Caenorhabditis elegans: one gene and its partner. The protein of the gene in region 1 interacts with the protein of each later gene in a pairwise test. Each region holds a gene or a part of one and is shown in the gene's direction. Other genes may lie near its edges.

Region 1 (3,241 bases):
TTTTAACTTTTCAAAAGCAATTTTCCGGCTTCTCACTTTTTAACCCATTATTTGCATAACACAGAATCTTTAACATTTTTCAGACATGGCTTCCGAGTGTAAATCTTGCGAAAATCTCGTGGATCATATTAAGGAAGAGATGTTTCACATTGAGGAGCTAAGAAGTGAAATTGAACAACTTGAACAATATATTCGGAATCTTCAAATCAACTTTGAGAAAATTCAAACTGAAAATGAAATTTTGAAGACACAGTTGGAAGAAAAAGAAACGGAAGCTGAGGAAAGTCAACGACTTCTTGATGTAATCCATAAAGATCGTGATGAATGTATTGAAGAAAAAATGAAAGTTTCAAGATTTTATCGAAATGAAATCAAGAAGGTTATAGAAGAAAATGAAGCTCTACGCAAAGAAAACAATAATTTAAAAGATACATATAACAATGAAAATATCGCAAAGATCGGGAAAAATTTGGATAAATTACAAGAAGTTAAGACAGACATTTGCAAAAATAAAATCAAATTGAAAGAGGTTGACAGTGTAAGTTGGTTTTTGTTGTAAATAGAAATTCTATCGATAGATATTCTGGAGTTTGCCATGAAACTTTTATAGTGCCTAATTTTGGAAATTTGTCGAACGGAAGAGATATCGTAAGCAACGGCGTCTTCCATCTTCGTTGCAAATTTTTTATTTTCAAATTCCTCTATTCAATTGTTTCATTTCAGATCACAACGAATGCATCCGTAACTATAAAAAATCAGAAGATTGAATTATGTGAAATGGAGAAGAATGAGGATGAACTGTTTGAAACCTTCGAGTATATCGAGATAGACCAGTAGCATGGAATTCAAAGTTATTCGTTTTGAATTGCTAAATTCAATTTTTTTATTCAATTGTTATCAGAAGCTGTATAAATTAAAGAATTTATGATAGTTTAAAATAAGAACTGATGGCACGAGGAGAATATCATTATGACATGTCTTAAATTCAACTATTTAAATTTATTCATATTTATATTATATGTAATTCACCTAACTCTTGAATTTGATACCACATAGTTAATCAAAAAGTATATACATCTACCTATTTCAATTGTATTCGATTGTGGACAATATCGTATGACTTCCATACTGTCGAAAATGCCTACTTGGTCTTACCCGTTGTTTCACAACAGGTCTCTTTCAAGATGATGTTCCATGTCGTACTGAAAACTGATTCAATTTTTATTTTCCAGCAAAATATAAAAGTTCATGAAGCCCCAAAAAAGTCACTGATTGTCATTTATGGACAAACAATACATAACTTATGCCTTTGATTAGTTAAATTTTTATTTTGCTCGAGATACTCCCCCTTCAGATGTTTTTCCATTTTATAAATTGTATTAATCCCAGTAATTTACTATCACTCAATACTCTTTTTTTTTACAAGATATTGGTTCTTCTATTGCCCTTCTATTGCCCAATTGGCTCAAATGGCTCCTCAATACAAGGTCAGCTCATCGATTTCAGACAAATAACACAGTACAATTAGCACCTGGAGGCAGACAATGGAAGATAATACTTCCCAAAAGAAAGCTGACTTTTGGGAAAGGGGAGTACGGTAAGACAATGTTGAAACGCCTAGAAACCCGCTGGAATTATAGATATTTATTATTGTCTGAGAAGGACAGCTGTTTTTTCTCCAAGGTAGGCCTAAGGCCCGATTCTCCAAGATAATTGCTCCTGTTTTGTTTGAATTTCGTCCTTCACCGTACATAGTTTTTTTTCAAAATTAAGTTTCGTTTCCAGATGAATCCCAAAATCTCTGTCTACGAAAATTCCTCCAACACTTTGGAGCTGACCCAACTAAAAGCAGAAAACGAATTTCTGAAGCATGAGCTCGTGGAGCAACGAAACATTTTCGAGTCAATGCTCGGAAAAGAAAAGTTTGACTTGACTTTGGAGATCATGCTTTTGAAGAATCAGGTCGAGGAATCGTTCAAGGAAAAGAAGATGATTTTGGCTTTTTTTGATGAAAAGGACAGCGAGAAGGAGCAAATGGTTTTGAAATTTACCAGAGAAATTGATGAGCTCAAGGAAATCATCGAAGACAGTGTTTCGGATAAATTGGACTACAATGAAGAGACAAAAGCATGTCATTCGGAAATTGAAAGACTTGAAGATGAATTGAAAAACCGCAAGAGGGATCTTAGACGAAGTGCACGAGAAATGAAAGCAATGGAATCTCAAAAAGATTATTTGATGACAGAGTGTGTACAGCAAAAGCAGGCGATGAAACGATTGGAATCTAAAAATCAAAAGCTTTTGGATCATATGACAGCAACTAGTGAAGGATATCAAAGATTGTCAAGAAACAATGAAAATCTTCTGAAGGTTAGTTCTTGCGATCTTGTCATTTTCAATATTAAGTCAACTTTCAGACGAATGCATTGTTGAATGAAATGATCGGCAGATTCATGGCTCGAGATCAACGACAAGTTCAGGAAGAGGAAACTAGTGTTCTGAAAAAGTGATTTCTGAAGAACGTTCACAACAGCTTGCTCATCGCCCTTCATCGACTGTCAGACCAACTTCCTTTTGTAGTTTTCTAGTTCTTCCATCTCCCTGTAACTCCATCGATCATTCATGTCATCTCATCATTGTAATAATTCAATTTTCTAGAAATCCCTTTCCAGATAAATAAATGAATTAAACCGTATTTTATTGTGTATCTGAAAATGTCGAAACAAGCAGAACGTCATGTGCATTTCGATATCTAACGACTTTGATCTGCCTATTGTTGCAGGTGTTTTTTAAGAGCACCTAGATAACCAATAGGCCCACTACTCGATCGACAGAGTCAATAAAACGTATTGCAGTGGGAACAATTCTAAGAGGTCATTCACATTGTCCCCCAATCGGTGCTAACTATATATTTCAACTGCTACGTATAGCAGTAAAGAACATCGCCTTAATTTTTATCTATCATACACTGGCAGCCTGCCAAAAATGTTTTTTGGAAAATGATTAACCAAAACTTTGACTGAATTTTTTTTCAAAAATCTAAAACAAGTGTAAAGAGGCTAAATTTCTACTGAAAAGCGTTAATTCTTCTCTTCTTTTCTCCTTTTGTCTCTCCTGGAGAGCGTAAATACATAAAAAATTAATTTGAATTAATTTTTTCATTAAGGAAACCAACATCCTATACGACTGTATTCTTATTCCTGAAAAATTCACTGTCTCATCAAAAAAACCACAACTCTCA
Region 2 (5,223 bases), on another chromosome or scaffold:
TTAGTCTTTTTGAATTTACAGATTATTTTACGCTTGGTCGCTAATATATTATTTAAAACATATGTTTCTAATTTGAGTTTACTTTTGAAAGTTTTAAATCTAGAATAAACATTTTTAGTTAGAAAAAACGTTTTTTAATCAACCTATATCAAAATGCACGTAAGAATCGTGTCAATTTTCAATTCCGTTAGCTCAGGATTTTGCAAAACGAGAAAGGAATAAAACAGTTTCATCGGATAAAACAAATTCAATTTTTAATTTAAATTAAAAGAGTTTGAAATAAAAATAGAATTTATCGAACAAAAGTCGATAATTGGAAAACAATTGAAACTTTGTACGCAATTATTTGAAATCTGTGCAATCACCGTTGCTTACCGTAGTCGTGTAGTCCTCTCGGACAACTTTGATGCTTGGCTGATTTTTATTTCTGGAGTTTTTTTTTGTTTCTCCGGAGAAACAAGTTGATTAATCATTACTTTTTTAGTCAATCAATTATTATTTTATTCTCAGATGATTGTGGTGGCGCAGCATGTTCCGGATATGCAGCTAAATCCGATGCAAAGATTATTCGCTCCTCAAACCATGACAGATCTTGTTTCGAATATTACCGCTCCTATGACTGATGTGGAAGAAGCTTTGTTCAATCAAAGAGGAATGAAAGAGGTACAATTATTCTTCCAGTATAAAATTACAACACATATTCAATTTTCAGGCTCCCTTTCGCGATCTGGATCGAAGTGGAAAAGCGGTTTGTAGGAAAAACAAATTAAAAATGTGTCCATTCGGTCCAACATGCCCTCTTCGTCACATCGATGGAGAAAAAGCTGTCGTATGTAAGCATTGGCTTCGTGGTCTTTGTAAGAAAGGAGATCAATGTGAATTCTTGCACGAATATGACCTCACAAAAATGCCCGAATGCTTCTTCTTCTCTAAATACAGCGCGTGCAGCAATCGAGAATGCCCATTCCGACATATTGATCCCGAAACGAAAATGAAAGACTGTCCATGGTACGATCGTGGATTCTGCAGGCATGGACCATACTGCAAACATCGCCATCGTCGTCGTGCAGTCTGCCCCAACTATCTCGCCGGATTTTGTCTACAAGGACCAGATTGTCAATATGCTCATCCTTCATTCGGTCTGCCATCATTCGAGAATATAGCTGTCAGTCATGCCAAACCAACATACAGTCAAGCTATTACTTGCCACAATTGTCATGAAAGAGGCCACAAGGCAACTACATGTCCACATCTTCCAGGACAAACAAGACAAAATCAAGATCATCACCATCGTGTTGATCTCTCACTTATACCAGATAAAAAGAATCTATCAGATGTTACTTGTTACAAGGTAGGTTCATTTTAATCATAAAAAAAGTAAAATAATTCAATTTTAGTGCGGAGAGAAAGGTCACTACGCCAACAGATGCCACAAAGGAGCTCTCGCATTCTTGTCAAATACTGCTCACCTGGCTCACGAACAAAGAGAAAAAGATGAAAAAGAACAAGGAAGGATCAATAATATGCTAAGGCCGCCAATGTGAACATTGTCGAATATAGGAGAACGGGTGGAATCTGTTATTTTTGTTGTTTGTCAAGAATTCGAGACTGTTGGAATAAAAATTTAACCTTCCAATTATTTAATTTGTTGTTTTTTTAATATTCTTGGTTTGAAACCACAATTTTACTGATTAACATTACAAATTTATTTTATAGAGTTATATTAAGCTAACATTATTCAGATGACTCGAAAAAGACCAGCTCTTGCAGAACCGGTTTCATCTTCTCGATCACGGGTAACGAGAAGATCAACAACAGGTGCACCTTCTTCAAAAAAGAAGCGTTCACCTGAACCGGAATCTGATGCAGATTCTGAAGATGATTACGATGGCCCATCGACATCCCAAACCAAGAAATTGAAGCGGGGAAATTCATCGACGAATCGCGGAAAAGCAGCTAATAAGACAAAACGAGGATCTTTTCAAGTTAAACAAGAAATCATGGATGACGATGAAAATGAGGAAAAAATAGATGGAGAAGTAGAGAATGGTATAACATCCAGAGAACATTCACCTGATCCATCTACGTTCAAAAAGACAGCGAAATTACAAACTAAGAAGAAAAAGAAAAAAGAAAGCCCGCCGGAAACTCCACCAACATCACCAAGTCCATCACCATCGCGTTCGGTGTCTCCGTCTACAACAAAATCAGATATTTCTTCGAAAAAAGGACGCAAGGCTGTTGTAAATTCAGTATCAAAAGTGAAAATCGAAAAAGAATCTACACCAGTAAAAACGAATGGAAGAAATTTACCTCCTAAACGAAAAAAGAAGCCAGTTGAAGAAGAAACTGCAGAAGAAATTAAACTTCGTGAACGAGCTGAACGTAAAGCGAGGAGGATAGAAGAAGCTAAAAATCGTCCGAAACTAACTATTGAACAAAAACTGGCAAAACTTCGGAAGAAAAAAGAGCGAAGAGAACGGAGAAAAGAGCAAGAAAAGGAAGAATCGATGCGGCAGAAATATGGGCAACGAAAAATCAAAGCAGAAGCCAGTAAATGGAATTTTGGTCCGATATCATCGATTAATCAACGAAGGAGGGACGAAATGATGGCTTATTTTCCAAAAGCGAATTTTTTGGCCGAAGATGGTGTACCAAAAGTGATGAACAATTTTCGAAGAGCAACAGTGAAATATAATATGGAAGTTTTGAATCCATTCATTACGTGTGGAATTTGTGATGTGAGTTTTTAGTTTTAATTTATAAGTCCAAATATTTAAAAAAAAAACCAGATCATAAATTAAACTTTAAAGATCGGTTAAATTTTTACTTTGAATTTGAAGTTTTCTGAATTGAATTATCAGAAATTTCTGTATTTAAAAAAAAAAGATTGAAATAAAAAAAAATTGAAAAGAATTAGGATTTCTTGATTAAAAAAAATTACATCGTGTTTGTGAACCAGAATAAAAGAGAATAATAACCTCTCGAAGTGTTTTTCGGTAATTTTTAGTGCAATTTTTGAAAAAAATAGAAATTTTGGAAATTTGATCACTTTTTTGGATAATCTGAATTTGGAAATTACCAACACAAGTTAAAAATTTATTCAAAAAATTTTATAACTTTCCTTGAGTTGTTTGATCTCCTCTATTCCATTTTTTGTAGAAAACTAAACAATTATCGCACAAATCTCTGTTGATTTTTCTGGTTTTTCACAAAAAAATACTTCAATCACAAGCAAAGGCATTAAACTAAATGGAAATCACCATAGGAAAAAATTATATAAAAAAACTAATAAAAGTGAATTTTATTCCTACAGTCTTATAAATACAGAGTGCTTGGCGAGACAAAATTTGTATAATTTGCTTCCCTGGAAGCCCATGAAAAGGAAAAAAGATAACGAGGTTCCGCTACAAAATCATTCTCATTTCTAGAAGTTTTCGTTACGATCTAGACTTTAAATCTAGATGCATAAAATCAAAAAACCCATATTTCAAGAATTTAATTATATATTTTCAGGGCTACATCGTAGATGCAACAACAATAATTGATTGTATGCACACATTCTGCAAGAGTTGTCTTCTAACATATTTTGAATCGGATAACAACACGTGTCCAACATGTGGAACATTTATTCATGGATCTCATCCAACTCATTACGTGACTTATGATCGAGCAGTCAATGAACTTGTCAATCAATTTGTGCCAAAAATGGAGAACAACGAGTTGGACGTACGGAAAACGTTTCTAAGAGACTGCCGAGAAGCTCTAGGAATTGATACGGCAGCCGAAGATCGCGAGAGAAAAGAACGACTGGAAAGAGAACGAATAACTGGGACAAATAGATGTTATCCATTGGAAAGGCCTAGATTCTCACATCATAGAGATGATTGTCAAGTGACTGTTAATCTACTCCCCGGGACTGCTAATCTACCTCTTATCACTCGACCGTATGTTCGGTGCAGTGAGATGACTACTATGAATACTTTGAAAAAGTAAGGTTTTTCAAGTTGTATTCAAATTTTGGTTTTTAAAATTTTATCGTGATAACATAAAAGAAAAAATTAATTAAATTTGAAACAATATGACGATTTTGACTGATCTCCTCAGTTGAATTTCCGCGCATTATTCTCCGAAACCACGCCTATTTTTCCGTGCCGCACTTTTACTTTTTTTCAATTACAACTCAAAGTTTTGGTATTTCTCCGAAATTTCAAAAACAAATTTTTTCTAGATGTAAAAAAAATATTTATTTCAGGTTAAAAATTTTAAGGAAATTAATTTTTTTATAATTTTCCTTCTTTTTCAGATTCCTATCTCTTCAAATATGGGACGATCAGAGCCGGTATTCTGATTTAGACATGTTTTGTGACGGACAACTCATGGGAAAAGACTTTTCGGTTCGCTTTGTTTGGATGATGAAGCGCCGTGGTCAACCCAAATCTGAACCACTTATAATTCGATATCATATGACGAGAACATGATCTTCTTCTATCGATTTCTTCTTTCTTCTGAACTTCTCAAGAACAAATTCCCAGTTTTACCATGTTTTAGTACTGTACCATGTATCTCTATCTCTATATTTTGTCTCATTTCCTATGTTTTCATATTTATTAACTGCATTTTTTTTTCAAAAACAACCAAACCCCAAGATGAATAACACGTGTCTAATTAAATTTTTTTGTTGGTTTAAAATTTCTTCGATTTGAAAAACGTGAAGTTTCTTCTTCTGGAGAGAGATTTTATCGTCACCTTCAAAATATCCGCTTATTTCCTGTTTTCACCAGCCACATTTTGTTCTGCTTTTCGATAACATAGTGTTGGTAAGTGAGAGAGTGAAAGAGAAAGGTTCTCAGTGGGGCGCACTTGACGAATCCAGCTCACAGCGTTTACACCATTCCTTTGAAAGACATTGCCGAGTGGATTTGCAGACAAAATGGGAGTGAAAGCTGTGCTTGGCGATCTGCAAATCGTCGTGGAACGGCATTCAGACGTCTTACGGAATAATGCGTTACCGTTCAGATTTCTTGTTGTGCTACGAATTATTGGTGAGTTTTTGCCAATAATTATTATTACCCAGACGTGAGATTTTGCGATTTTTGGGCCAAAAATACCGTATCTGGTTTCAGCACGGCAAATAAAAATGCGTGTGCGCCTTTGAAGTGTACTGTAATTTCAAAGTTTTAGTTGCTGCGGAACTTTTATCGGTTTTTCGATGAAAATATA

What was found. Proteins that work in one complex are often made in the same cells at the same time.
Region 2: the proteins of C17E4.2 (region 1) and mig-32 interact in a two-hybrid assay, tested with the Caenorhabditis elegans proteins (one large-scale study listed by BioGRID).

The regions. Positions count from the first base shown.
Region 1 is NC_003279.8:9,410,529-9,413,769, forward strand, and holds C17E4.2 (Cilia- and flagella-associated protein 157), read left to right. Parts: upstream 1-1,777; 5' UTR 1,778-1,785; coding exon 1,786-2,370; intron 2,371-2,417; coding exon 2,418-2,510; 3' UTR 2,511-2,694; downstream 2,695-3,241. Other genes in the region: C17E4.19 (uncharacterized protein), read left to right, coding at 86-538, 724-837.
Region 2 is NC_003282.8:12,088,733-12,093,955, reverse strand, and holds mig-32 (Polycomb group RING finger protein 3 homolog mig-32), read left to right. Parts: upstream 1-1,742; coding exon 1,743-2,741; intron 2,742-3,516; coding exon 3,517-3,992; intron 3,993-4,306; coding exon 4,307-4,481; 3' UTR 4,482-4,670; downstream 4,671-5,223. Other genes in the region: cpsf-4 (Cleavage and polyadenylation specificity factor subunit 4), read left to right, coding at 541-663, 713-1,351, 1,398-1,544; F11A10.6 (Transmembrane protein 115), read left to right, coding at 4,934-5,045. UniProt on the Caenorhabditis elegans protein: Component of a Polycomb group (PcG) multiprotein PRC1-like complex, a complex class required to maintain the transcriptionally repressive state of many genes, throughout development. Required for ubiquitination of histone H2A.